Linked DNA regions of Lepisosteus oculatus. The protein of the gene in region 2 interacts with the protein of the main gene of each other region in a biochemical or structural test. Links are inferred from orthologs where the notes say so. Each region holds a gene or a part of one and is shown on either strand. Other genes may lie near its edges. The genes, in order: kita, ptpn6, platelet endothelial cell adhesion molecule-like and ros1.

Region 1 (7,072 bases), on a different chromosome or scaffold from region 2:
ATCATTTAGCGAAAGGCTTTGTGATCAGACAAGAAAAAACTGGACCCTTTTGATCTACATGCCAAGTGTTATATCTGACACAAATACAACATCGATTATCACTCAGTCAAACCCACCCCTGTCGCCAAGCATGGTGGCAGCACCATGTTATTCTTCTGCTTCTCATCAAAAGAAGAAAGCTGATGAGAACATAGACAGAGCAAAATACTGGCAAATCTTAGAGAAAAACCTACTCGGATCTAAAACGCAGACAAAAATTACTTTTCCGCAAGATATACTAGAGAACCAAAGCACAAGGCTAAAGCTGCAATTGTGTGGCTTTAAAATAAGAAAGTTAATGTCCTTGACTGCCCCATGAAAACATGTACAAATTATTTCAACATCTGTAAATACTATACACATATGGAAGCTACTGACTGAAGCTGTAAATGAAAGGTCATTGATTTCTTTGTTCTGCAAAATCCTGGATTCAAGTTAATTATGTACTGAATGTTATAAAGACAGACAACAGACAGCCTGACAGGATACTCAGCCTGCACGCAACTGTGAGGGATAAATAGTGGAATAATTTCAAGGCAAACAGATTTATGTTATTTTCACTTTCAAATAATAGATTAATTTCCAAATGTAGAGCAGCACTGTGCTACAGTGGTCAGCATCGCTGCCTCGCAGCACTGGGGTCCTGGGTTCAATTCAGGACCAGAGGTGCGATCTAGAGCGTGCATATCATTCTCCACTTGTTTGTGTGGATTTCCTCCCATAGTCCAAAGACATACTGGTGAGTTAACTGGCTTCTGGGAAGACTGGCCTTGGTGTGAGTGTGTCTGTGTGTGTGTGGCCTGCGATAGACTGGGTGTATCCAGGGTGTATCCTGCCTTGCACCCTTTGCTTGTTGAGATAGGCTCCATCTCCCCCACAACAACGTCCTGGATAAAGCAGTGTAGAAAACAGACTGATGGACAGATTCTAAATGCCTAATTTTAGCTCTAAGGTTTACCCTGCGTACCCTCTAAATCGGAGGGCTAATAAAAAGTCCACAATGAACAATCGTGACCATCGGACTTGCAAGGACAAGACAAAAGACTATATTCAAATCATGTATTGCATGACAATTACATTACAATTTTGTACATGTAAACATGTACAGAGTTGTAAATTCCGCAGACTAGGTTTGTTTTGCTTGCTCCTCCAGTCACACACCTTCCGCCTTTCCTCACCGAGTTTGCAACTGTTTAAAGATCCAAAGAGAAAAAGATTGTGCAGTCAAAAGCACATAAGAACACACTCTTTGTCATTTTTTGATACAAGGGCTGGATGGCTTAACTGCTTTAAAACTACTAATGCAAGATTATAGCCTCGCAAAAAGTCAGATTTGTAGCATTAGGCTGTGGGATAAGACGGTGTTTCTCCAATACAGACTAATTAGATACTTGTTTAAATGGGAAGCCTGTTATTACTGCAGAGAAAAACACTTTGGGGATTTAGCTTGTGAGCGAAAACAGAAGCATACATAAATTCACGCAGTCCTGTCCTCTTCCGTGAAGTCCTTGATGACCAGACTGATACAGCTTGGACACTGAGCTTTAACTGTCTCCACGAATGTAACAACAATCCCTGTCTTCAAGAGAAAAGAAATACGTCTGCTCCTTTACATCAGGCTATGGTATATTCATTTAGATTTGCTCAAATTACCGCTTCACTGTCCAGCCAAAGCGCTCTGACTACTCGTACTACTAGTATCACGTTTCCAAACCGTTTTCCTCAAAGGGGCTACGGTTGCAACTTTAATTTAGCAAAAGCTTTGTTGCTTTTATAATGAACGTACGTTACTATCATACGAGTTGCAAGCGCTGGAAGTTTGTCTTGTGTAAGGCGTGATCCATTCACTGCCGAAATGAAACACTACCTACATCCGTGTCCAGGCAGTTTTTAAAGCACCCTTAAAACAAATACGGCCGCTCCTTGATGCTCCACCTCCACGTTACCTGTCGTACCTAACAACAAAGTCAGTCTGCTCCGAAGCGCCTTTTAATAACATGGTATGTTGTGCAGCAAGCATGCAAATGTACTTTTGTATTGTAACGACAGAAAAGAAGGAATCGATTTCTTCATGTAAAAAGTGGTTAAATAGATCATTTACGAAGAGGAGAATGGAGAACACACAGCATTTTAGTGATATGTAATTTGTTGTACAATAAATGTTTTAAATTATTAACGAATTAAGCTGTTAGTCGAATTCAGCGCCAGCACCCCTGCCGATGCGCTTATCCTGCTACGTAAGCCAGTGGTGTCGTGGAGTACGACATTCATATTACAGGTGCTCTGTTGTAATGTATCTCTTTATAACTTTTTGTAAATATTAAATAAAAGAGCAAAAGTCTAAATACATGTAACATTTTTTCCACAACTAGCAAACAACTGTTACATTAATGAACTGTAGTTTTTTTTCACCGATATCATAAATAATTCACTATATTATATGCATGAAAGAATAATGTAACTTTAGGGGTTAAAACTAATATTTTATAGAGTCCTGTGCTGATAGATGTTATTAATCCAGTTCACATAAATTTAAAATGAGAAAGTGCTTTCCTATGTTAGGTGCAGAGAATCGAAACAATTTAAAGTTAAATTATACACTAACCATTTGAGATACACAAACAAGATTTTGACATCCCCAATTAAAGTAACTTCATCCTCTTAAAAAAAACTTTAGTTTAAGTTTAGTTTAATGTAATTAAACTTAGATTTCTTAAAGTGAAATCCTGCTCCGTTCAAGCATCACTGATAAATCATCAAATTCCTACAACACGCATTAGCGACTTCAGCCTGCTTTCACCGGTGAAGAACCCTACCTTTTTCAAACCATAACAGCATCAAGGTAAACAACGAAACCCAGGTATATCCCATTGTTAACATTCCATTTATCTGTTTGTCCACCTCTCTGCTATAGATCTGCTTTGTCGCCTGAGTTGCGCAGCACTTAACACTACAGCCTGCTTCGTTCCACCTATTCAAGTCTTAAAGGCGCAGAACACTTCCTACCAGCAGCCCTTCAGTCTGTCTCCAAGACACCACCGCAGGAAGGAAGAAAGAAGAAAGTTCCTTTAAACGTAATATGATTGGCTTAATTGGATAATTAAATTGTTTTACAAGACTAAGTTACAGTACTGCAAAAAAATTAAACGAACTTGTAAATATATCAATAAAACATTAACAAAATAAACCTCAGCTGCCAAAGTTTATTTTTAATGCTAAATTCGTGTATTTTAATACACTAGTTTCTTACTGTCACCTCGAAAGCAAACTAGTCAGTTTTTCTGTACCCTGAAACACTGGGCACAACGGAAGTGTCCCACAAGCAGGGATTTTGTTATTCTAGTTGACCTCGTATAAAATACATATTTTATGTGGACTTTGTTTAGTTACAGTGTATAAGTGACACCTCACATAATGATTGGGCTTTGAAGTCAACATTTGCAGATCTCAAGGATATGATATCTTTGCATTGAATCATTCATCTCTAATATCTGCAGTATAATTTTATAATCAGTATGACAATTTTCTGTGGTTTGTAATGCTTTGATCATCTTAAGTAGTGAAATTATTAAAGATGCTTATAGTGTCAGAAAATGAACTTTGTGACCAAATTCCTGTCTTTCAGTTCCTTTTTTTGTTTGTTTTTGACTGGTCTTTCACACCAGAGGTGGTGGCTGCCAAGGTGCTTGACTGGAACAAATATGAAACTGTCTGCAGAGCTCAGTGTCTACCTCGGGGTAAAATGCACTTTAAATATGACAATATTTTGTTAAAAAATAAGTTACCTTCATAGTAGTGGTTGCAAACAACTCCAAGAACTCGGTGCTTCTAAAGCCTCTTTTCACAGTATGTCAAATTCTCAGTGAACACAGTGTCTGCTGATTTGGAATTCACGTTCCTCTTATTTCTGTGCAGATGAATTTTTAATGATGTACAAAATTCTGCCAACAGCTGTAGCAGATATCCTTCTTTAGTACAACTGTATAAAAGGATTTGACATCAGGGCAGACATGATGACATTTGCCCACCAAGTGTCTCTCTGGGGGCTGAGACATAAGCAGGTTTTATGACTTTGAACAGTGATCCAGGAATCTGTGTCCAGGAGCTAATCTGTCTTCTTTTCAACATAAATATGTAAAATACAATTAGTTCCCAAGGGTATAAGCATATGTTGTCAGTTATTTTACACACTTATTAAGAAGATCAAGTGTGATCAATACATGTCGCACACAATTTAAAAAGATAAAAACTATGGTTTTTAACTCTACTATAATTGTACTGTATATATATATAATGTTCTATATAGTCAATTCATTGGCCGTGTATATTTGTTTTGTTTCAGTGGATTGTGGGATTTTGAACTGCTGGGTGGGGGACACTGAGGTCTATTGGTATGTCATTAACTCTGTGGATATTTGTGTTTCTGTGCTGAACAGCTGTGTTTTCATGTGTATGTAGTGGGTTAGGCTCCTTCAAGTTAGTATAGAAAACCAATGTTGTTAGTGAAAATGCAAAGGGTAAAACATCTTTTTTAAGAGAATCAGAATAATAATGAGGATAAAGGTCAGAGTTCTTCAACATTTATTATTTCTTCCTCATAAAATGTGCTTCCATTCACAAAAGCAACAACATTTTATGAAGTAGTTCAAGTAGGAGGCTGCATCAGCATGCGTAGCAACAACAAGGACACAGGCATGCCTACTGACGTTCATGTTTGCATCCATCCATGCAGTATCCCAGTATCTATAGTGTATACAGTAGCTGCCATTGCCAATGGCCAAAGCCAAACATAATATAAATGTCAGGCCTACATTTTAAAAGAAATCTGTTGTATCTTCCATCATAAATTTGCCATTTCACAGTGAGGAATTTTGGAAGTGTTGACCGGTTGTTCTGAGTGGTTTTGGGGATACCCAAGGGGAGACAGATATTCTTCACATACTCCCATGAGATACCATCCTTTTGCCCAAGTTCCTTGTAGTGTTTTGGTGACACATATCTGTCAAGGCTGCAGGGTTTACTTAATATTAGGGTGTATTGAAACAAGTAGTATTCCATGCTGAAAAAATAAGAGAGAAAACACAACATTTTGGCTGTAAAGCCTTCTTCAGGTGTGAGAAAGACAGGGCAGACAGCAAAGATTAAATAGCACGAAGAACAAAAACTGAGAGAGGGGAGGAGGCGGGAGGGATAGAGAGGCAGAAAGGCCACTCAGGAAGTGCAAAGTGTAGAAAGGTGAAGAAAGGTGTGAAGTCAAAACCTGCATGAGAATAGAGAAGATTACACAAAAATAAGTTGGTCATTGAGAGAAGGGGGAAGGTGTGAACCTAGTTTCAGGTTGAGTTTTGTTTCTGTTGTCTTTCTTCTATGAGAATTGAGAAACCCTTCTTTGAGAACAGAGACAGTGAGATCAGTGTGATCATGGCCGTCTGAAGTGAAATGAGAAACTATGGGCTTGGAGAAATCTTTAATCTTCACAGCCTGAACATGTTCGCTGAAGCGGTCTCCTACTTTCCGGTTTCTCCAACATAGATAGCTGGGCATTTTTTGCAGGACATACAGTAAGTGAGGTTGCTGGAGGAACAGGATGTTGTCTGGGTGATTCGGAATTGACCTGAGGGGCCCTGAATGAACGTGTGTATTTGCCGGTGATGTAGCAAGTTCTATTACTGGGGAAGGTGCCGAAGGTGCGCTCAAGGGAGCTGAGAACCAGATGTTTACGTAGATTGGGTGGTCGGCGGTGTCACGGTCATCATCCCTCCTCTGGAGGGCGCTCCGACCTTTTAGTATTAGTTCCATGATTGCGTGCTCCTGTCTCCTGTTTTATCCGTCACTATAAAAGTCATGTGCCTCCTAAATTCTAGGTTCAGTACTGGAAGAGGAATGTCTGAAGGCCCGACTATCCACCATGCTCAGGAGAAGCCCGAGGGCAAGGCCTTTTCCCCAGGCGTCCTGACCATCTGAGTCTGGGTCTCGGAGCGCCTTGCTTCGTTATGGTTTTATTTTCCATGTTCCTGGATTCCTTTTTTCCTGTCTTCATCTTGGATTGATCTCCCAGCTGCCTGGACTGTATTTCCCTTTTGGACTCCCAATGGACTTGTTCAGAACCACCCCCTGTCAGTCCTCCCATCCATTCTTCTCTGAGTCTTCCCCATTGCTCTTTTCCAGTCACTTCCAGATTATACCGTCTGCACAGGGTTCTAAATACGCACTACACGGGAGTCAAGACCGGCTCCCGTGACAGGCCGTATGAGATGATTGGGCGGTCAGAAAAAAGGGTATCGATGAAGGGATAACCCTGTAAAATGGAGTAGTTGTTAATAATGGTCCTGGGGATAGAAAGTGTGTTAGAGTGGTAAGGAAGCACCAGTGGAATGCGGTTGTGAGACCAGAAGTGGTGCATTGATTGCAACATGTGGAATCTCACAGTGGTGTGGGGGATTTCATCCTGAATTTGGCTGCGATGTGTTAATGTGTTCAGTCATGTTGTTTTATCATTATGGAGGCAGAGTCTAGAGGCATCTGTGAATGACATAGTCTACACAAGACCCAAATAATTTCGTAGCATTAAAAAACAGGATCTGATACACAAGACAAAACCAGCTAAAGTACACACTCAGAAGTCAAAGACTCATGATGTTTTTGTTAATAAGGCTGCAAAAACTTGCCACGCAGAAAAAAGCTTAAGAAATGAGAGGGAACATTTCTTTTCCATTTTTCTGCCAGTGGAGTGATGATCCAATAGGCTCCTCTTGCCTCTTCCCCCAGACTCGTCCACTGCTCACATGTCTCTGTGGGGGAACTTGCCTCCTGTACTTGTTAATAATCTCTTTGATGCCTGTCCTCCTGTCTTGAAGCACTTCAGGAAACTATACCAAGGAACTATTCCTGTTTTTAGTTGACATAGACATTGTTAGATAATGTATCTTTACATTATATGTATATATTTGTTCATTGTATCCATACACAATTTCTTTAATGAGCAACATACAACAAAAATACAAATAAAGATCAAAATTTTAGTTCATAACAC
Region 2 (7,798 bases):
ACTTCCCTGTTTCCTTATGTCCCAGAGTGAGACATCAGCGTATGATCTTATGTCTCCTCATGTCTGTGTTCACAGTGAAAGCAGGGCGCGGGCCCCCTCCTTACAGACTGATCGCAGTGTTTCTGGGGCTGCTGTGTGTTGTTTCACTGACTGGCTTCATAATCCAGTCTGTCTACTGTGAGTATAACGCTGTGTGGAACTGTAGCCGTTTAATAATAATAATTATTACTAAAATTATTATTAATAATGAAGTCTCCCCCACTGTCCAATGGTGTGGTAGTGATTTTTGATGTGATAAGATCCGTGGATCTTTTGCTTCTAATTGCTAATCTAATTGCTTTTAGGAATTTTTGAACAATCTGATCTGTACGGATACCACCAATCAAATAATAATAATAATAATAATAATAATAATAATAATAATAATAATAATAATAATAATAGTAATTCCTACATTTATACAACAACTTTTTGGACACTCCACTAAAAACACTTTACAGGTAATGTTCTAGCCCCACCTAGATGATGCACCAGTCCTCTCCCCACACACCAGCTCTTAGTGGGATGGAGAGCAGAGTGATGAAGCCAGTTCAGAGAGGGGGTTATAAGGAGGCCATGATTGGTAACAATCAGGGTAAAATTGAGTCAAGACACTGGGGTAACACCCCTACTCTTTTCAAGAAACACCCTGGGATTTTTAATGACCACAGAGAGTCAGGACCTCAGATTAATGTCTCATCTGATGGACAGCACCATTTTTTTACAGTATAGTGTCCCCGTCCCTATGCTGGGGCATCAGGACCCGCACAGATTGCAGGGTGAGCGCCCCCTACTGGCCCCACTAACACCTCTTCCAGCAGCAGCCTCAGCTTTCCCAGGAGTCTCCCATCCAGGTACTGACCAGGCTCACACTGCTGAGCTCCAGTGGGGCTGCCAGCGCTGAGTCACAGAGTGATCCAGCTGCTGGCTGAGAACTTGTGTCGCTGCCTGAGTTCCTTTGTCAGCAGCTTCCTGCCGGCCCGATACCAGTGCCTGCGTGCTTCCATATGGTAAAGACCGAATGTCTATTCCCCACCAGGTAACGGATTCCTTCACGTCAACCAATCACAGAGCTCTCTACCAAGAAGGAACGAGCTGGATGAGCTCAGTGCAAACTATTCTGCTCTGGCTGCTGCCCATGAGAAGTTAGTGGAAGAAAAAGAGGAGTTAAAGAGAGAAAACGAGAGACTCCTGTCCCTGAACACAGATATCAGTAAGCACTTTCACATGCAATGTTACTGGAAAACAGGCATGATGGGGACTTTTTTATTCTGACACACAAAACGAATCATCTCTGCTTTGTTCTGCACAGTCTGCTCTCCCCAGTAGCTGAGCATGCCTGATAGCACAGCTCATTCGTGCTCACGAAGTTACCTACTGTATCTTACTGAAAGCATTTCCAGTGTAATGAAGGGGGGGTTGGTTGTTCAGTCCTGTGACGGGTCAGCCCCTGCGAGGGGCAGAATAACTCTTTTGTTCCATCCCGCTGCAAAATCCATTTAGCATCGCATTGATCTCCAGCACCTGGGTCGCTAAAGCAATTAAGCACCCATTGAATTCATTTTGTCAGAAAGGTTATAAAGTCAGGACAGCGTGTTGGCCCAGTGGTAGGCATTGCTGCCTTGCGTGGGTGCTCCAGAGACGTACTGGTAAGTTAATGAGCTGCTGGAAGAGCATCCCTGGTGTGAGTCTGTGTGTGCCCTGCAATACACTGGCGTCCCTCCCACAGTGTATCCTGCCTTGTGCACGTTCCCTGCCGGGATAGGCTCTGGCTGCCATGTGACCATGAAATGGATACAGGAGCTTAGAAAAGTGATCTGAAGGAGATTCAAAGTCCTGGCAGGGCATTTAGACACGTTTGTCTAACCACTGGGACAAACGGAGGGCTGGGATGTCCCCATACACTCAAGAGACATGGGATTGAAGTACACTGTGTTGGTCAGGGAACTGGACTGAGAGGAATCTGCTGTCACTCTCTGCGTTCTCCCTGTACAGAGAGGCTCTGCAAACTGTGTCCTCAGGACTGGGAGTTTTTCCAGTCCAAGTGTTACCACTTCTCGACTGGCAGGCTGAGCTGGAGGGACAGTCAGGCTGACTGCAGGAGCCAGGGGGCTGACCTGGTGGTCATAGACAGCAGACTGGAGCAGGTAAGTGACTATGAAGGGGAAGGGGGGCGAACGCAATTGGGGAACCATAGCGTGTTGACAAGAGATGTTTGGGAAGAAAGCTAGGGCCTGATCTTGCTTATTTCCTCCCAGCCATCTCCCTCTCTCCCTGGGACCTCCCTTCACTTATCTCTCTCACACCCTTGTGGCAGCTCCTCAGCTCATTCCTTGCACTAGTAACAGGGCGGGAGGGATCAGCCTCATCCTAGTAGCTAGGCTGCCTTTCCCTCAGCTAGGAGAGTAGGACCCACATGGACTGCAGGGTGAGAGCGCCCCCTACTGGTCCCACTAACACCTCTTCCAGCAGCAGCCTCAGCTCTCCCAGGAGTCTCCCATCCAGGTACTGACCAGGCTCCCACCTGCTGAGCTCCAGAGGGGCTGCCAGGGTGATGTGGATGTTGGCAAGTTCACAAACAAAGGGAACTAACCTACGTCTCCCCACCAGACTTGACCATAGCACATCGATTGTATTTGGGTGGGGGGTTTCTAGTAGCGCTCCCTTTGCTATCACGTTAATAACCAGCATCACGGATGAGTAACTCTGTGTCTCCCGCTCAGCTCTTTATATCGAGACAGAGCAAGGGAGGCAGTTACTGGATCGGACTGAGCGATGCCGCCTCCGAGGGCACCTGGCTGTGGGTGAACGGGGCCAGAGAAACCGGAGGGTGAGTTCGGCGGAAACGCCACCGGCCCCTGACTGTCTGGGCAGAACCGGGAAGAAACACACGCGATGGCCGCGGAGAGACGTTAAATGGAGAGATTCTGCTGTTATTTTATATTTTGTTAGACCTGATTCGGCGAAAGGGTGTGTTTTTCCTATTAATCTGGTCATTATTTTGGCGAAATCCACAGAAGTAAATGGTCCGATACCGCTCCTGTCCATTCGTGCTTTTAAGGTCGAATTGCTTTTATATTTAAAGAATCAAAAGATAAGACGTGCAATGGAAACATGTTAAAAGCTTTATTTTCAGCTTTTGTCACTGAGAATTCCCCTGGCTGTGAAGGGCGTCTATTTCTGTATCGGTTTGACTATGTTGTCTCCCTTTTCGTATTTTTGATGTTTCAATGAGAAACTGTTCAGTTCCAGCTCAGTCCTGGAACAGCAGCATCGCGCTTCACTGCTCTCTCCTGCCAAGAACAAACAAAAAGGCCGGAATGAGAACTAAACGTGAACTGGAACTTGACAGGTACTGGATGCCGAGGCAGCCGGACAATCACCGGGGCAGAGAGAACTGCGCCGTGATCGCCTCCCGAGCCGCGGGAGCCGTGAGGAACTGGAATGACGAAGAGTGCGGCCGGACCCTGTCCTGGATCTGCGAAGCCGAGAGTCCCCTCCTCTCCGCTTAAGACGCTTGGCGGCTCCGAGCAAAAAAAAAACACCCGTGCTGCTCTTCCGGAGCCGAGCGCCTCGCCATCAGTCCACGGAGAGCCCGAAGAACCCACAGGGCAGTTTTGGCTTGCGTGACGGCGGTGTGAACAAGTCGTAACTGCGCTTCACGGGCCGATCCGCTCGCTTCGCACTTCACGCAGGACGCAAGCAGCTACAGAGGAGGACGGCAAGGTGATCCAAGGATCACGTAGCTCCAAAACATTCAGTTCAACTCGGCTGCAATTAAGAAAGCAAAAAAAAAAAACAACAACCCGTAGAGATGGGGAATTCTGACCTTGGACGTTATGTGGATTTGGCTATTGAAATTGATTTTTTTTTAATCTAAATGTGCTTTGGTGTTCGCTTCGTGCTCAGCAGCTGAGCTTTTTTTTGTACTTTTGCCTTTTGTACAAGCGTACGGAGCCCGGGAGGGGCCATCGGTGTGTGTGTGATGGGGAGTTATATCGAGGGAACGATTTACGATTCGTGCGCACGAAATAACGTTTTCTCTTTCTTCCGTTTTCGCACGCACATAGAAAGTTTAAAACGCCCGCATTGTCCCCTTCTCCTGACGACAACGCTTTCAAACGCTAGTTAACATGTTTTTATATCGGTACAATAAAGCATATCTGACACTGCTGTAGATAAGGATAATGGATAGAGATGAACTGATTAAGTTTTATTTTGGTTTGGGGATGAGTTATTAGGGCACTGTAGCTACTGTACTCTTCAACTATCGGGACTGCACCTCTCTTTCACTGCTAGTGCCACGTCAGTGCTTGCGAGGGGGTTAGGAAACGTTATTTCGTGCGCACGAATTAAAGAAAACGGGGGCACGATGTAGGTATTTCGTGGGCGCGAATTTTAAGTCGTTCCCTCGATATAACTTTGTTTTCTTACTGATGGTCCGGCCTCCGAACCAGCGCGTCCTCCTGACTCTGCAAACCCCCTCCTGCTGTCGCGCTCCCTCAGATAAATGAACCACTGAGACCTGTCACTACTGCAAGAATCACATTTTGTTCTGAAACTCCAGAGCGAATAGCGTATCGAGTTTTGTAGGCGGTGCAATAAAAACCAATGTGTGCTCCTGTGGATATCCGCTTCAAAATGTTTAGAATAAAAAGTTACTATTCTGCACTTGACAGAACATGTTCTGTGCCTTCGAGCTTGTAGTATTCTGGTAGCCATGGTTACCCTCGGTTCCATGCATTCCAGTGGCTATGACGACCATGGATTTGCGGAAGGTGCGGTGTAGTGCTGTACGGCAGAAAAGCCAAACTACAACTCCCATCAGTCTTTTAGGCACGCTGGGCTTTTGCTGAGGGCTCATGGGTATTGTAGTTTTTTTTGACCGTGCCATTTGGTTAGCATTAAGAGGTCCTGGCAGACTGCGTGTTCACACACGAATCGCCCCGACATCATCGTTACTACACTTCTACAAACATCCCTGCCGACACTAGGGGAGAGAGTTCAGTTAGTTCGCTAGTGCTCTCTCCACTCGCGATACCTCCCCCCGTGGCTGTTACACGACCCCGGAACCACGCAGAACCACAAACCAGGTGCGCTTGAGGGGCAACCAGCCATTTTCTCCCTTTCTATCTCTTTCTCACCAGCTCTGCAGGGCTCCACTTCACCGTTATACTAACGGCTCACAAACCTAGTTAATATGTAACTCGACGAGTACAGTTTATTGTAAAGATTTAACCAGCGCTAAGCTAATAATCCATTCCCCTTTCCGTTGACATTACAAGGCTACCCAAGTGAATCATTAACTGACGCCGTGTGCCCCCAAGTGTGCAGAAGCCAGCGCTTCGTTCGCCAAAGTGCGCATGCTCTGCCCTCAAGCATACGTCAGCGTGCTCGCGTATAGGATAGCCGTCGGTGTCGAGTGACCCAGCAGCGCTGTCCGGAGGAGAGGGAGCTGAAATGGTAAAGGCACATCATTCATTTATCTCTGTGGTGCAGCCGTTCCTGAAATAAAACCGAATGGGTGTCGCTGCTGTACCTTTCTGTCTTTATTTTGAGCTCTGTAGCTTTCAGTTCCAGTGTATCGTATGTCAATAGCAAGCATATCAGTAGTTCTGATGTGCTCTCTTCTTACCTGTTCAGTCTGCGTTGAGTGCACGTAGCCTACTCTTATTGCGTTAGAGACATACAGTATACACACAACAACGTGACCTGAACTTTTTAAACTTGCCCATTGCTTGAAATACGGCAAGTCGCCTTAGACACGCATAACAAATTCGTCCCCATTTTTTACATGACAAGGTGTATTTGCAAAACAGCCGCTGGGGTGCCCCCAGAGAAGCTTTGCAACTTCCCCGTGTGTGTCGCTGATGACTTTTTGAGCGGCCGTGTAGTAAAACGGAAAAGGATTGGACAGGAGGTTTTGAACGGTTCAATGGGGTGTCAGTTTGTATCAAGGTTTCGATTGGGAGTATGGGAAATGTAGTCTTTCTTCAGCCGGACTGTGTATACGTCAAAGTCCCTTCTTTGAGAGTTTGAAAAGGTATTAATCAGCATGGTGCCGAGCTACCAGAGACACAGAGAATAGCTTCTTCTTTGGTAAATCGCAAGAAAAGGTTACAGATTACTTTTAAATAATGCAAATTATTAAAAGAGTTGTTATTGGTTTATCAGCATTGCTTCAGATTATGAAACGTTGCTGTTTATCTCTAATACATTAAATTACGCTCAAGATGTAAGGGGATTTTTCGCAGAAAAATGTAAATCGGAAAACAAAGACCCAAATCTCTTTTATGGTACTGAAAGATCTCACCTTTGCTGTTTCACATTTCAAGGGTTATTATCGTCTGGGGGAAGTTTGTTTTACGTCATGGTCCAGTACAATAATATAACAAGGAAGACAAAGATTAGATAGATAGATAATACTTTATTAATCCCGTAGGGAAATTGATGTGTTACAGCAGTCCAGCCCAAGACAAGCAAAACAGACATCAGAATAGTTATAAAACAAAAGACAAACAAAATAAATAAAAATAAATACATAGGTGTGTGCAAAATGTAATCAGAGAAGACAGGACAGTAGTGCCCAAGGAGTTCATTTACATTGTTTGGGACAGATATTGCAGAGGGGATGAAAGATTTCCTAAATCTGTGACTTTTAGAGTTGGGGACACAGAGGTACTGTATCTCCCCAATGGTAGTAGTGTAAATTCACAGTGAAGCGGGCGAGACACACTCTCCATAATGCCCTTGGTCTCCTTTAGCCATGAAACCAAAGCAAAATTTAGCACTATATCTTTTATTATCTCCCTTATTTGCTGTATCACAACACGTTGCCCGTTGGGGATAATAAGGACTCTCTCTCACATGCTGTTCTACATATTTGGTGAGTTGAACTTTTACTGAATACTGTGTAAATTATATTACAAAAGGAAAATAAACAGCTCGATTAAAGCTATACCCGAGTGAGATGTTGAAATGTTTGCATGCAGAAGTTTATTTGTCCGCTTTGCGAGTCTGATTAGAGCTCCGATCGTGTGACAAGTGTTATATTGTTACTCAGCAGAGAAATCAAATCGTTTCATTTCAATAGAAACGGATTGAATGGCGGGTGGCAGTCTGTGTGGAGTTTGCATGTTCGACCAATGTTCGCATGGGTTTCCTCCCACATGCTGGGCTGCTGCCCCCTACTGGACATGGGGCTGTACTTCCACGAGTTAGCAGACGCATGTAAACAATAATTATATACATTACCTCTTGTAGAATAAATGCTTTTATCTGGCACTTAAAAAAGCTTAAGAAGGTCTTATTGCAGAGTATGTTTTCTGTTGTTCTATATTTTTTACTGGCGTCTGTCTGACAACGATATTTCTAGCTTTGTAGCTGGGTTAAATATAGAGCCATGCGTGCTTTTGGAAACTACAGAGTTCTGCTCCGTGTGTGGTGCCAGTGTGGTGTCAGGAATATAAAAGTGTCTGTTTTATTTAAATTAGCAGATTTTCTAAATTGATTACTTGTTGTTGACATCAGTTTGATTATTTGTGATTTAACACAATACACATGCACAAGAACTAAGTGACATAAACAAAATAAGTAAAGTCCTTACACTTATGTAGTGCCTTTCTGGACACTCCACTCAAAGCGCTTTACAGGTAGTGGGGATCCCCTCCACCCCCAAGCAGTGCGCAGCCCCACCTGGATGATGCGACGGCAGCCATAGTGCGACAGAACGCTCCCCACACACCAGCTCTCAGTGGGG
Region 3 (7,937 bases), on a different chromosome or scaffold from region 2:
CTTTGAGTGGAGTGTCCAGAAAAGCGCTACAGTGTATATAAGTGTAAGCAATTATTATTATTATTATCCAGGTGGGGCTGCACACTGGGGGTGGTGGAGGGGATCCCCATTACCTGTAAAGCGCTTTGAGTGGAGTGTCCAGAAAAGCACTATATAAGTGTAAGCAATTATTATTATTAATTATTATTATTATTAGTTTTTCCCCAAATCATTTCTTACTAATTGTATAGAAAGCATTACTGAGTATTTACTCACATAAAAAGATTGATAATATATGAGTAGTAGTCCATGTTACTTTTTCAAATGCATTTTTACTGTTTATGACAAACAATATTAACAATCTTTTATATGCGTCGTAAATTCTACAACAATTTATGTGCGGACCAAACCCATGTTTGTGCACTGGTACAAAAGGATATTTTTTTTCTTAAAGAGCTGATAAAGAATACTGCAATGGACACTAAATAAATAATGAAAGGTTTTCTGCATTATTACAGTAAAGGAACGATAAGGGGAGAAGTTACATTTCTCAGGGATAATCAAGGAGAATCCTGTGCTTGATGAAAGGTAAATAGCTCATGGCTGAAATGAATGTCGGTCAGGGGTTTTCCAAGAAAAAATAGGTAACATATTAGATCCAGTGCTCTTCCTAATTTATAGAAGTGATCTAGATTCTGATAGTAAACTAGTGAGACACACTGGTGATACCAAAACAGGACAATTAGCATACAATATAATTCTCTGTGGGTGTTTACTAGAGGTTGCTGGAGTTTTTTACAGGTTGCTAAAGACGACAAATTTCCCCTCCAAAATGACCAAGACGATATAGCTGCTCCGCACTTATTCCAGATACATTCCTGGGCTCAATGCATTGTCCTCGACTGATGGGCTAAACAAACAACCTTCTTGGTCTTTAACAGAGAATATTGACTGGACCCGATTCAAGTATTTCAAACCCTCGAAGGCACCGACAAGATCAGCCCCGAGGACCTCGGTCACCAGCGCAGCACGGACCCGCAGACACAAGTGCAAACTGTGTGGGAACGCGTGAAAGTCTGAAATAAGCTACAGCACACAGCCATGATCTCAAAACCGATGCCCCGGCTTCTTTCAAACAAGAAACTGAAATGCTAATTAGCTACTACGGTAACTACTAAACACACTAAACATTATAGGCTGAATGGCCTTCTCTTGTTTAGGACCTTTATTAGTGGTTCAGAATATTGCGGGGAGAATGTCAATTGACTTATAGGTGCTACCGCTTGTAATGTTCTCATTGTTTAAAAATACTGCTGTGGCTGATTGACACGATAGAGTGGTTAAATGCACAATCAAATCCACGCCTAAAGGCTCTCAGGTTGCCATGAAGTCGTGAAAACCATGCCGAAGGAGGGGGAAAAAACAGGTTTCGAAACAATTCTGGCAAGAGGTCGGTTCTATTGTCCTGTAGCCCCGCGCGCTCAGTGCTGCAGCAGAATTCCTTTCCTACGAGAACAGAGGAATGCCAAGACCCCATCAGTAAACAGAGGAGGCCTCAGGAAGGAAAGCCGCCTTTTTAGAGCAACAGAAAATCAGAGCCCCAGGGGAGTGGCAGCACAAGGCACAGGGAGCATTATTTTAGTATCCTGTCCCACCCAGGGCCACAGCAAGCCAAGCCACAAACACCAGCGGCCAGGCCGTAGCACAGCGAACAGGAGTGGCCCATGAACTGTATCCCCACTGCCTGCTCTCTTCGACATGAGCCTCAGAGTCCACTGTTTAACACTAAGCAGCACCCGACCTCCTGATTGCACTGGAGATTCACCCCCTTGGGATCCTGGCTCCTGCACCACCAGCATGGGCTGATGGGATCAGATCAAGCAACTGACTCCTCTCTTTCTCACACGTCTCATTTCAGACAATTCATGTGATCACCAGTCTACAAAAACATGTCCCTCAAAGCCTCAGACTGCAAACCTCTTAAGCACCTTCATCGAACAGGTTTACGTAGCTACTCAGAAAAAAAAAGATTCTGAAGTCCTTTAAAATGTACACGTCAGCTTTGGATTTTGACTTTTTGTTGTTTTTCTTTCAGTACTAATTTTGCGCAAATGAGACGTCGGTGTCTCACGGCTTAAGAAAAGTTTTGTCCCCTCCCTGGCTTTGTGAACTGTTGAGTGAAATTCATTTCTAAAATAATTATTTGTACGTTTTTTTTCTGGACACTTGTGCCGCTACCAGCTGCCTTCGCTGGACAAAGCGGACCCCCAGAAGCTCAAGAGTCACCATGGAAAGACACAACATGGTGACCCTAGAACACGTTTGCTTGTGCTTTTGAAAAACTATTCAAAAAATATTTTTTGAATAAAATAGAGGAAAAGATTTGAAAGCAAAAACAAAACAGCAGCCCTGACAAAGCAGAAACGTGAGTTTTCACTCTTTCCTCTGCTAGTTCTTCCGTCCACAAATACAACATTTTCCCAGCCCAAAACAGAGGAAGCAGAGGTTGGGAAAATTTCCACTCCAAAAGATAACTACTGACTGAGGATGAGGAGATAAGGTGCTTCAGCTGGCTGTCCTGTCTAAGTGAATTAAAGTGTTTTTGTTCTGCTTTCCTGCATAAAAAGATGGTAATTGCCTGAGGTTAAAACAAAACTGTCGAAGGAATAAAATTTCCACACTTACCAGTGTGAGGTTTGACACCCGGTACAGCTGGGGTGGGGAAAAAAGAAGAGAATTATTTCACTTCTAACAGTCGTGTTTGAAAAGGATTTCTAAAGCAAAACCATCAGACAACTGAAAATAACACTCGTGTCTGCACGCACAGGTCAGGAGAACCACTGCGAGGAAGAAGTAGCGCTTCATCCCGGGAGAGGCTGGAGTCCTCCTGTCGAACCCTGGCGCAGGAGCCTTGGTCCCAGAACCCATGGCTGTGGTGGTGTCTCTGAAATGGCAACCAGTGTGGAGGGAGTGAGCCGAGCTCCGGAGTGCAGCGGCAGGGAGGCTCTGGCACAGGGGGGTGTGAGTCCGTGTGTGTGTGTGGAGGCTGGAGCCTGTGCAGGGCGGGGGGGCTATAGTTATCACTCGGAACCTTCTTGGCTTTGTTGAATTTTCCAGGAAGTGACTGCTGCTTCCTGAGGATGTGCGCTCCAGCTCAGCGCAGTCTGGGATTTTCGTTGTGGAGCACACTCCTCTCGCACCCCCCAGCGGCACAGGAACCTGTTTTGGACCCGATGTGCCCCGAGACGCCCCCCCCACCCTCACCCACCTGCCTCACACACACTCCTGCAGCCCTGTCTCTCCAGACGGTCTGGTCCATAAAGGATGCCTCTCTCCTGACTGCAGAATATGTGCAGCACTCTCCTCCCCAGTCTGAGCAGTAGCAGATCCCACTTGTTTCTGCCCATCAGCCTCTAAATCCTATATTGTTTTCCCAATCCCTCGCTTGTTTAAATTGGAATATTATTTGCATGACCAAGAGACACAAATACCAACACTAAAATAAGTTCACTCCTTTTATAGTGTTGACTAAAAATAACTTTAATATATAGCTTACATATTTTTAAAGGGATACCTTTTTCTGTAGTGCTTGAAAGAGCCCAGGCTAATGCCTTCCACACGGTGGCTGGGTAGGTTGTTCCGCGCTCCCACCACCCTTTGTGTAAAGCAGTCCTTCCTGTTCGCGGTTTACACCTGTGCCCTCCTGCTTTAAGAATTGCATCAGAGAGCGAAGAGAACATGCATGTACATATGTTCCCACGGTCTAACACAACAGACACTGTGAAGTATGTTTCTGAAAATATATTTGGTAGTGATCCCGTGACCATTTGCTTCTTTGAAAATTGGTCTGGTGGTTTCAGATGTGAAGACGGTTAAGGGTGTAGTCGACCCACGTGAGAAACTATTAGCTGAAGTGCGAAAAGAGTATCTTGTCTGTGCATCTATGATGTCTTTGGTAGGGCTGGTGAAAGGAGAAGTGAGGGAGGTCAAGTTATTTTTTATTTCTCCGTTTATGAGTCAGACTGCCCTTTCGTTCTGAACACCCTCCCGTGTCCTGAGATGGCAGCAGCCTCCTGCTCAGCAGGGTCAAACTCCTGTGTGCTGCTGTGTTTGGACTCCTGCGTCTCTGATGCCCATCCAGCTGGCTTCAAACTAAACACCTGGTCCCCCTCTACTGGCCATGTGTGGGAATGACAAGGCAAGCCTCAGTCGAAGGGGCTTCCATCTGCTGCTTGCTCGGTGTATTAACAATGGGGGAAAAAAACCCAACTGCAGGCACAAGTCACAAGTTACCTGTCTGGATTGGACTTTTCCGCGCCAGCACAGAGAGGAGAGGGTTGCAATAGAGTCAGGCTGGGGTAGGTTCTGCTCACATGCACCGGGATCAGATTAGACATATGGTCGCTGCCTGAGCCACCCCTGCAACCAACATTCAGAGCAACGTTGACCTTTTTTCTGCATTTCGGCACACTTCTATAATCTGGTCTAATAATCGCATTTTGGGGGGATTTATTGTTCATCTTATTGGCTTGATGGAACTATTGCTTTTCTTACAAACACTATTGATTCTAGCAAACATGATTGATGAAAGTGTGAGCGACTTAAGGGCGCTAGCAAGGATTACTTTTGCATTCACAGCTTTGCCACTTGCTGCAAAGCAAAACAGGTGTGTGTGTGTTGCTCTTCGCATTACACACCCCCAACACGACAAAACCAGTTTGAGGGAAATGTGAAGAAGAGCATTACCTCTTCTGCCGAGTTCATGCTCTGTCCATTCCTGACCTTCTGGTCTCATTTCAGGGGTGTTCTGCTCCCTGTGACCCCACAACAACCCAACACTCCTTCCAGGGGGATCTCCTGCACTTTGGGGTGCTAAAAGGTCCCGAGAACCGGAGAAGCTCCACATTCCACACTGGCGAACCTCTGGTGTACGGCATGCACTTTCTTCCAAGTGTTTCTTATACAGTACCTCATTCCTCTGAGCGCTGAAAGCAACGAGCACGGATAGCAGTGGGTTAACATTTCTACAAAGGAAACTCCCTCAGAAATGCAAAGAGTTAGTAATCTCCCTCTTGACATAACGTACCAGTATGCAGCAGGAAGATTTCACTGATGCCTCCCTTCTCCACCTTAGGCCTAAATAAAAGAGGGCTGTGTAGTTCAAGGATCCCAGACTTTGAATAGAGAAACAAAGCTAATGAAATGAAAGTTATCCGACATGAAACTACTAAGCGCCTGCCGGACACACAGGACTGATAACACAATCTACAGTGTCTGGCGTTAGCTTAAACAAAGAGCTTTGAAGGGTGGAGGGTTTTGTTCATTGATGTGCTTAAAAAAATAAAATGTTTCCACGTAGCAAAATCTACATACAGGGCAGCGCCTCCCCGGTACTTTCACTCCATTTCAGCAGACGCGGTCAAGCCCACTGTGTGACAGGCAGGATCTTCAGCCCAAGCACTGGCGCAACCAAGGAACAGGCGTGAAAAAGGTTTCGTGTGTATTTGGTTTATTTCATTGCCGAGTTTTCTCCTGTTTTACAAACCACATTCAACAAAGCAGTCTCTACAGCCAAGGAGAACACCTGATTGTTTTTTTAAATCATTCGTGTGTATATATATATATGTTTTAGTTTTTCTTATTCTAAAATGTTAAAACGTCTCACAGCAGGTTTTAACAGAGGAGGACATAGTGGCTGGACAGTGGGAGCTGTGCTGTCTGTGAATATAAGCTAGTAATGCCACCCCCCTTCCACTAGGGGGAGATAGTGCGAAGTGGAGCACAATACGTGGATTAGACAGCAGACCAAGTGTTGCTGGCGGCCAGGCCAGTCTGTGGGCCTCCTTTAGTAGCCTTTAGTATCCTCTCTAACTATGACAAGTCAAACAGAGACACCAAGCCAAGCAGATATCTGAACTGATGAAAGATTTTTACCACATTTTAAAAAAACTGGGAAGCCTAACCGCTTGAAGAAGTCCAAGGCCATCGCGTGGCCCATCACCCTGTTCACCCCTAATGTCTTCCCTACACAGCCCAGGGAGGAGTCCGGTTCACAAAGCCAAAAACTAAAAAGCCCCCCCCAAAAAAAGAAAGAAAATCTCCAATAATAAAAACAAAAACATACAAAGCACACCCAAAGAGATGCAATTAACAGATTAATATACGTGATACAAGCTGAATATGAACGCCGCTGGACAACGAGATCCAACGTGGAGCCCCGCACGCACACAGTCAGTCGGGACAAAGCAGGGGTGTGAAAGCACCAGTCTGTGCGGTTCCGAGTCTCGCAGGGAAGCCGCGGGCAGCGGGGCGACCTCCCCCTGCGCCACGGCCTCCGCGGTCGCCTCCGCTCCTGCGCACAGACCGGATCGAGACCTCCTGCTCGGTCATCCTCGTCCTACAAACGGACGTTCGCAATGAAACCCCCGTCTTCTGAAGGAAAAACAACAACAACGGAAAAAAGCGTGTCCGTCGCTCGTAGAAGACAATATCCCTTTATCCCTTTTAATCGGAAGGGGGGAGGGAGGGAGGGGTAGGCGTCCTCAGCAGGTCCAGAATACGAGCCTCTGCGCAACACACAGGCCCGCTGTGCAGCGCTGCAGCGAGGCCCGCAGGTCTGTCTCGTGATCCGACAGGCCGGGGTGGGGTGGGGGGTGGTCAGACGCAGACCCGGGCTCCCCCAGGTCGCACGCGGCAGAGGGGGCCCTCTGCGGTCGGCACGAAACAGCCCAACAGGGAAGGAGGACGCAGGAAAAAAAAAACCACCACCCTGAAAGGAAGGCAATGCTGGTGTGTTAAAACTCCCTGGCAGCGGCTGGGTGGCAGTGCCACACTCCCATCACCCACGGGTGCAGGGGGAGTCGGCCACCGGCTGCGCTCTCTCTCTCTCTCGCGGCTGCCCGCTCCGGGAGGTCCTGAGAGGGGCGCAGGAACCCAACGAGGAAGGGGACGGACCCAGAGAGAGCCAATCACGCGCAGGCCACTCCTCCACACGGGGCCCGTCCATTGGCCTGGGGGGCACTGTGGGGGCGGGGGCACTCTCCCCTTCGATCACAGTTCTGCTGTCAAAACACCCCTGGAGCAAAACCCGATACCATCCCAGCGTGAACGTCAGCACAGCGGGATAGAACAAGAACAAGAACAATAAAAGGTGAAAAGGGCTGAAGTACAATTTCATAGCTCAAACAGCTATACGAAGGGAATCTCCTGGTTCAAGAGCAACCCGAGTCCTTACTGGAGTTATTTCAGACACGAGGGCGCAATACCAGATATCCCCATCGGGTGTAACTTAGTGATAAGGCTGTGCCACAGTGGGAGTCTTAATTGTCAATTTGACACTTTATTGCTTTGCTGTGTGCCACGCCCCCTCGCAGGGCCTCCAGCGGGACGATAAACTGCAAGGCCGCCCGCCACTCCGCGCCACGCCCTCTTCAGGGGGTGCAAGCGACAAACCCTCGCCCCCCCCGTCCTCGGACAGGCGCGGATCACACAGCAAGGAACCCACAAAGGCAGCGCACCCCCATTGTGTGGTTTAAAATATTTCTATAACCTGTATAGGCAAATAAATATACACGCTCCTCAGCACAGCCAAATCTACAATCAGTAGCTCATAATAATAATAATAATAATAATAATAATAATAATAATAATAATATAATAATAATGACAATTTATGAGTAGCAGCAGCCATCACTAGACATTCAAGTTGGTATTTGGATATGTACACTATAAGTAATTTACATCAGTTTTCGGGGGTTCGTGAGGCAGGGGCCAGTGTGCTGGCGTTATCTCAGTCTCTTTTCCGCAGAGTAGATGGACATGTAGAAGTCGTTGCTGCCGACCGCCAGGTGGGGCTGCGAGAGAGAAGAACAGCGAGGTCACACATGATGCAGAACTCACGGCCGTGTGGACGAGCAGCTGGGCACGCCCTTAACAAGACCAGGAACACCAGCGCACGC
Region 4 (7,308 bases), on a different chromosome or scaffold from region 2:
TCATTTGTAAAAACAAATGTCTCGTTGTAAAATTCTGATGATTGCTTTCTATAATTTAATGAAAAGTACTTGTGGAGGCCAATTCTTTTTGCTCAGTCAGTAGTTTAGTTCATCAGCAAAGGTACTGTAGTTACTAACAGTAAACACTGAGATAGACCCAACTGTGAAGGCAGTTTTATCACCTAGTTCTGTGTAAACGTTCTACCATTTGCAAACTGCTTTCTCTTTACTCATTCTTGACTTCTACAGCTACCTATTTGGAATCATTTGAAGAATAATATATTTTATTATACAATGTTGCATTTACACAGCCCATGCTAAGTAGTTGCTATAGTTGCTATATCTCACCTTCTTTTTGTGTTGTTCCCTCAAATGCTTTGGAAGGTGGGCTTCTCCCTCCTGGTGATTCTGCCCAGATAGTCATTTTATATCTGCTGGAACTCACCAGTTCTTCAGCAGCCATCTGTGTGTCAACAATGTCCCTGTACTCCTTTATCACAGATGAATTAAATGCAGAAATCCTCACAGTGTATGTCCAGTTCTGCCAGGCAGCAGGGCCTTAAGGGAAGAAAATCTAGATTTCAGTGCCCTTTTTGAAAATGTATTATCAGTATACTCAGCTATAAAGTAATACAATTCTTTCTGGATTTTGTTCCAAGAATACATCGTTATTATGGTGATAGATGCTTCACTGGACACAAATATTTAGGGCTGTCTAAGTTAGGAGATCTACATAAGAAAAAGAACATCAAAATATGAATCATGGCAGCCCAACCAATTACTATACTTTGGAGTATATTAGAATATATCATAATAAGACACATTGTACTGGCACACTCACTTGATCCAATCATTGCTGCAGGTCTCTCCCACTTCAAGGAAGCATTGTTTGATCCAAACAAGACCCGAACATTTTGGGGACTTCTGGGTACTGGATATGGCTGACTGAATTCACTAAAAAAGTACAAGTTGTCAAACCCAAAGTACTCAAAAGGAACAGAACAGTCCACCACGTATTCATTGTAGAAAAACAGATCACCAAGGCGTGTCTCATGGAAGACTGCTCTTCCATCTGTGAGCATGAAGAAGTTGTCTTCATAAGTAAGACTCATCACTGGGTCTACCAGACTTACAGGGGGCCGAATGATGCTGAAAGATGAGCCATCTAGAAAGGCAGATGATATACTTCTATCACTTTCATTAAAATACAGCAGTCGCCTAGACTGAAAGCTGACAACAAAGTCTCGAATAAAGTCACTTCTCACAACCAAGCCATTGTAACTCTTCTGCCCAGGCAGCTGTGGGAGAGACATTCGATAAATCCCATCATCCACCAACAAGAATATGTATCTGAAAAAGAAAAGCACATTAAAAATAACATCAGTGAAGTAAAAATTATATACCAAGGTTTTTAAAATCAGTAACAGATGGGTAAAACCCAACTCATGATCCATACTACTGTTTGTTCATGGTTTCTTAAGAACAGGATATGAATAATGCTATAATGGTATTTAAACATCATAAAAACATAAACTTTATAGTTTTTCGACATGAATGATAATGAAAAGTCATTAAGTGAGGAATATTATTTGCTGATATTGCATCATATAAGGAAGTAGGCACAATCAATGGATCCATGATTTTAAAAACAGTCCTGTAAATTTCTTTTTTAACTTACTCTGGAATAGTAAGGAAACAGTCAGTAGAAGACTACACCTGAAGGTTTGATTTTATACTATTAATTAAAAAATTAAAGTCTCCCGATCAATTTGTCAAGATCCAGCAGTCAAATGCTATTACTGTATACCCTATGTAAGCACAGACCAAATCATTTATCCTTTCTTTAATTATTGAACAGTCAGAACTCTTCTATAAACACATAAAACTGCATTAATGTCACCATCAGAATAAGTACAATTATAGAAAAAATATTTATTAATATTGTTTTCTGTTTCAAAAATGGACAAAAATAAACAAAATCTGGCATATTTTTCACAAAGACACTAACTGAATTTTTATCTGTAAGCTGAATTGTATATGCATGCTTACCCATTGTAAGGATCTGCAATAATTTTTGAGGGAAAACTGTGGTTAGCAGCAATAAAGTCCACTGTGTTGTTGCAGTCATCTATACTGCAGAAGCAAACCTAAACTCAAGAGGAAACATCATATAACAGGTTAACATCACATGATGATGTAATTCATCACAATTAGAGAGTCAAAGAAATATAATTACTAAAACTTTTTTTCCAGATGCATAAAGCCTTTTTGAAGGCTAAGTACTTTTAGAAGTACTTCTAAAAGTGAAGACTAAAGACCTGAAGACTAAGCCTAAAGACTAAAAACCTGGAGACTAAGTACTTGCATAAAAGTGCATTTTGAAAAGCACATTTACATTATAGACTTAGACTTAGTCATTTTAAATTGGTGTAATAAAACCTATTTAACTTTTAAATTCTTAGCCATTAAAAATTAGGCGTAAGCTAATGTATGCAACTAGCGATAAACACAGGAATCTGAATAAGGACCACTAACAAATGTATATCAGTAATGTAGAGTCTGCTATGATTTGCAAAATAGTGAACATCACAGACAAGGAGGATTAACACTGGAGGAGGAGCTGCAAATATAATTCAAAATGTAAGAAGTGTAAGAAGTTGGAGTCCGCGAAATGTGAATCAGTATCGTGGAAGAAAGAGGTCATGAAGGGAGGGACCAAGGCATGTGGTCTAACAAGATCTTACAGTCCAGTTTGTGGGTGACGAGGGTGATATGTCATGAGTGTGGGACTCTTATCCTGTGAGTGATGAGCTTGGATTCACAAAAGATAAATCTGCAGATGTCAAGACCCTACTGTATATATGAATCATAACCAACATAGACAAAGACATACTTTAGAAAGGCATCACATGGTGTAATTTTAGGTTTGTACCTGTCCACCCATGACAAAATAAATATTTTTGTACAGCCAATCGACGGATATTGACGTGATCTCCACAGGACCAGTGAACACTATTTTCAGATCTGAAACGTCAGATAAATGGAGTGCTCCTTTCCTCCAGATGTGGGTTCCTTCAGAGAAGTAAATATGTTTGGAGTTGTAGCTTGCAGAAATCCCTAAAAAACAAATCAATATTTAAATATGAATCAGATATTCTTTTTCTGAGTAATCTTTTTCTTTATTGTTTTTGTAATGGAAGAATAAAAAAGTAGTTTTACAGAGCATAATTAGCAATCGGAGTGGCAGGGTTAGCTTTTCTGCAATGCGCCGTTGTGGCCCTAGGTTCAGATCTGGAACCAGGGAGCTATCTGTGTGGACTTTGTATGTTCTTCACGTGTTCAAGCAGGTTTTCTTCAAGGTTCTCCAGCTTCCTTCTACAGTCCAAAGACATATTGGTAGTTTAATAAGCTTCTGGGAAAATTGGCCTGAGTTTTTGTAAGCGTGTCTGCCCTGTGATACACTAGCATCCTGTCCAGGCTGTAGCCTGCCTTGAGACCCTGAATTGGAAGAAGTGGTTAGAAAATGGATGGATAATTAGCAATAGTCACCTGAATAAACAATAGCAATGTCAGGATTAGTAGTAGTTATGCTCTGTGAAACCACTGGAAAATGTGTTAGTTTTGTCATGAATTATACTTGCCACTAATATTATATTGTATTGATTCAGTTGGAAGACACTCTGCTCCTGAAAATAAATCTGCCACAGTCTTCCTCCTCAATGAATTCATTCGTGACAGAATTAACCATTGTTTTTCGCTGGTGGCTAAAAAAAAGTGAAAATACATAAAGATGTGAGCTGCAGCTCTAGTTTAATTTCAGTTTGATCAAACTGACAAGTGTCTCAATCGTCAAATGTACTTGCTTTCTTTTGCCGTTGTTATCCCATTCCTCTCTGCTGCAGGTCCTTCTCCTTCTGTATTTACAGCAGCTATGATTATCCTTCCAAAACAAATTTGAAAGCATGTTCATTATGTCTAAGCATCAGTTCAGTTCCAGAGAGAAGGATGATTTTTTCAGGTCTTAAACATTTATTTCCATTAAATTTTGAAAATCATATAAACAAAGCTCATCAACATCCCTCCACACATATAATTGTAATGGCAAACCCCAAAACTCAACCAGAAAAATACCAACAGTCATCCATTCACTACCCTTGACATAATGCAGTGCAGATTAAATAACCATGTACAACATCACAATTAAAATTAACCTTGTTAATTAATTAAAAAATACAATATCAGTCATTTTCAATCTGTCTACCATGTCAACATTGGTTCCCTTTTTGCCACAGAACACACTACATCCCCCCTTGCCTATGCCTCTAGAAACAATTCAGTCTGTTGGATGAGTCCTTAATAAGCAAACAGCTCTTGTTGGAGCATTAGTCACATTATTCATCATACTCTTAATCATAGCCAGCTGAGCCAGTCTCAGTAAAAAATTAGCCAGCTCATACTTATATTTCACCTTTTTAGATTTCTTTATCCAAAGAATAAACATAATGCCTGTGAACAATATACCCAGACCTGCAAAAATAATTCAATCTCTGGCTTCAATCTAAGCGGTGTATGAAACTTTGAATGTCATCGCTGTCTGTAAATGAAGAGGGCACTTTTCATCGAGTCCTGGGTGAAAGAATGCCTTTCTTCAGAGATTGGTTGCTCTGATGGTAGAGTATCTCATACTTTCTATCTCCAATTTTTTTTTTGCAGTAGTGGCTTATACAAGATAATGTCCAATGTGTGTCAGGAAGATCCTTCAGATCCTTATAATGATTTACTTTTATACAAGTCCCTTTTCTCCTCAGGATAAAACCAGAGTTCTTTATTAATCCCATATTTTTGCAGTTTCCCTTAATGATCACATTATTAAGTTTTCATTAATAAGTGTATTAAAAAGAGGGGGTTCTGCTTTTAGGATAGAATCCCCAGAGGAAAACCGATTGAGCACCCCTGATCCATGCTCCCTCCACTCCCACAAACTAAAACTATAAGATCATTGCCCACCCTAGTCTGACCGCATTCTAATTTCTAGTGTTTTCATCCAGTAAGTAACCTTTGAGAACTCCTTCTTAAATACATGGAAAAACTAGACATCTGTGGATCGAGCACAATAGAATATTATTGGTTCCTTTACAAGCCAGTATAACCTTACAGTCTCAAACTCGCGCCTTAAGCCATCTGCTAAAACACAGGTAAACAGGATATCAAACCTGCTATTATTCATCAATGGCAGCTGTCTGTTGAACAGCAGCCTCCCTTCTTTGTGAAGGAAAATGTCTAGAAGAAGTAATGTCTCTTTAGAGGACTAGAAGAGTACTATAAACTCTGTAGTGCCCAGATTCAGAAAGCAGCAACCCTACTTGTAATATTAATTAGTCTCCGCCATCCTTCTTCTGCTGGCAAAACAGCAAACTTCCTAGCAAACTACAGCAGTTCCTGTAAGACTTGGTGAGGGGTTGTGCCACAGAACTAATAAGACTAAATTATTCATAATTGGGACCCTCATCTGTATGAGTTGTTCAGTAACAATTATCTCCAACTCTGCCATCTACTCTTCCCCTGATCTCCCACACCCTCCCAATTCTGCACGGGTGCACAATCTACTGATAGAATTACCCTATCAGTAAAACTTTCTGACTTTACTGGAGTACCGTGGAAAGTCTGGTGATATGGTGCTGTCCCACACCCCTAAGAGAAAATAATGTTCTATGACAATTAATCCAGCAAATCACACTATCTTAAATATGTTCCAGCACTGACTTAAAACTATAATATCCTGGCTTTTACAAATGAACAGAATTGGATATGGGAGAGCTCAGTGCACCAAATCACCTGGAACACATTACTATAGAATAGGTGTCCCTTATCTTATCGACTGAGGAAGCCACAGGGGCCAGAGTCCAGGTGAACAGACAATTTTACTCATATTTAACGATGATCAAACCTGGGAGGTAATTAAGCCTTCCTGGGAACAGTACAGTTAAAAGTGGGCCCAAAAAGTATAGAGACTTTTTCAAGAGAGGAGTCAAGGCAGGTATAAAAAAGAAAATTAACTGTATCATGAGTGGGTTCCTCCTTCAGAATGCCCGACTACAGAAGTCTTCCAGGCAATTTGAGCACTGAAGAGATCGATTTTAGTATCTTAGAAAGGGACTGATATCTTATAGTTGTAGGAATAATTATTTATTTTAGCTGTACCTCCCAGATGAAATAAATGTCTTGCTTGTATCACCATACACTCTTTTGGGGAGAAAGGTTTCCATTTGTTTAGCATCTGTTTTTTTAACAGATTATGTACAAGATCTTTTGTACAAGAGTAAAATCTTTTATTTTATGGCAAATATGTTTCTCCTTTCCTTCTTGTACAGGTTTGAGTTCTGTTTCCTGGTTCTATAAAAGGCCAAAACCAGGTAATCTCAGTCCTTTAAATAACTGTAAATAATTCTATAAATATAAAAATAATTGTATTAACACTAGTGAAACTAACATTAAAGTTATTAAATCTATTGTAAATGTAAAATCCATATTCTCTTGTCACTTTATATAATAAAATGTTTAATTAATATTTAATACAGATTTAATATTTGTTATGTCTTTGAAGTAATAATAGATAACCTGGTCTCTTTAGACAGAATTTAAATATTAAAAGGTACAGTAAATTAATAACACAATGTACTTTAATTAAGGTTTTTTAATCTATTAGAATTTTTTTCTTTTGAATGCAAGAATTACAGATTATTATGTTTGCTGCTGCTTGTTACTGTAATGCAGCTGACGTGTAAACAATATTGTGTTGCAGTTTGTTACACAAGTACTGTATGTCAGTTTTCATAATACACAGTTTCATTTACACTTTTAATGAAACTCTTCACTATTTTTTATATAATTCTAAAACATAAAAGGAAACATTTCTGTTTAGATTTTTTATCATATAGTCCTTAGTTTTACATGAGAAGAGACAAATCACAATTCAAGGTTAGTTCTTAGAAAGTTTTTTGAAAAAGATTACCTGTATGTAGTGTTGGGGAGTGTTGGGAAAAAAGATGCTTGGAAGACATTGCTCCCTGCAACTTGATGGAGACTCTGTTTCTCACTGAGGAGGTTCAGATTATAGCCAACAACTGGTCCTCCAGGATGAAGAGGAGGGGACCAGCTGATCTCCACAGTGTCAGGACCCAGGCTGGCAACACTCTGTATCACAGGCGCACTGGAGGGAACTTCAGTACAAAAGGAGAGAAGCACTGAGTGGGAAACTGGAAACTACATGCTTCAAGCATGTGGTTCAGATCTAGCTAAAAAGAATAT

Evidence for each region.
Region 1: the proteins of ptpn6 (region 2) and kita form a complex in vitro, tested with the Homo sapiens proteins (2 studies listed by BioGRID). The link is inferred for Lepisosteus oculatus from reciprocal best matches to the Homo sapiens genes PTPN6 and KIT.
Region 3: the proteins of ptpn6 (region 2) and platelet endothelial cell adhesion molecule-like form a complex in vitro, tested with the Homo sapiens proteins (2 studies listed by BioGRID, with this or other methods). The link is inferred for Lepisosteus oculatus from reciprocal best matches to the Homo sapiens genes PTPN6 and PECAM1.
Region 4: of the proteins of ptpn6 (region 2) and ros1, one has a biochemical effect on the other in vitro, tested with the Homo sapiens proteins (2 studies listed by BioGRID and IntAct). The link is inferred for Lepisosteus oculatus from reciprocal best matches to the Homo sapiens genes PTPN6 and ROS1.

What each region holds. Positions count from the first base shown.
Region 1 is NC_090696.1:78,571,313-78,578,384, reverse strand, and holds the start of kita (mast/stem cell growth factor receptor kita), read right to left. Parts: upstream 3,014-7,072; 5' UTR 2,920-3,013; coding exon 2,856-2,919; intron 1-2,855. UniProt on the Homo sapiens protein: Tyrosine-protein kinase that acts as a cell-surface receptor for the cytokine KITLG/SCF and plays an essential role in the regulation of cell survival and proliferation, hematopoiesis, stem cell maintenance, gametogenesis, mast cell development, migration and function, and in melanogenesis.
Region 2 is NC_090718.1:2,757,482-2,765,279, forward strand, and holds the start of ptpn6 (tyrosine-protein phosphatase non-receptor type 6), read left to right. Parts: upstream 1-4,796; 5' UTR 4,797-5,502; intron 5,503-7,798. Other genes in the region: CD209 antigen-like protein C, read left to right, coding at 76-177, 1,079-1,252, 2,035-2,186, 2,763-2,869, 3,392-3,551. UniProt on the Homo sapiens protein: Tyrosine phosphatase enzyme that plays important roles in controlling immune signaling pathways and fundamental physiological processes such as hematopoiesis.
Region 3 is NC_090704.1:45,207,521-45,215,457, reverse strand, and holds the start of platelet endothelial cell adhesion molecule-like, read right to left. Parts: upstream 3,003-7,937; 5' UTR 2,908-3,002; coding exon 2,805-2,907; intron 2,692-2,804; coding exon 2,665-2,691; intron 1-2,664. Other genes in the region: rptor (regulatory-associated protein of mTOR), read right to left, coding at 7,764-7,832. UniProt on the Homo sapiens protein: Cell adhesion molecule which is required for leukocyte transendothelial migration (TEM) under most inflammatory conditions.
Region 4 is NC_090697.1:32,854,123-32,861,430, forward strand, and holds the start of ros1 (proto-oncogene tyrosine-protein kinase ROS), read right to left. Parts: upstream 3,006-7,308; 5' UTR 2,945-3,005; coding exon 2,933-2,944; intron 2,148-2,932; coding exon 2,050-2,147; intron 1,351-2,049; coding exon 842-1,350; intron 559-841; coding exon 349-558; intron 1-348. UniProt on the Homo sapiens protein: Receptor tyrosine kinase (RTK) that plays a role in epithelial cell differentiation and regionalization of the proximal epididymal epithelium. NELL2 is an endogenous ligand for ROS1.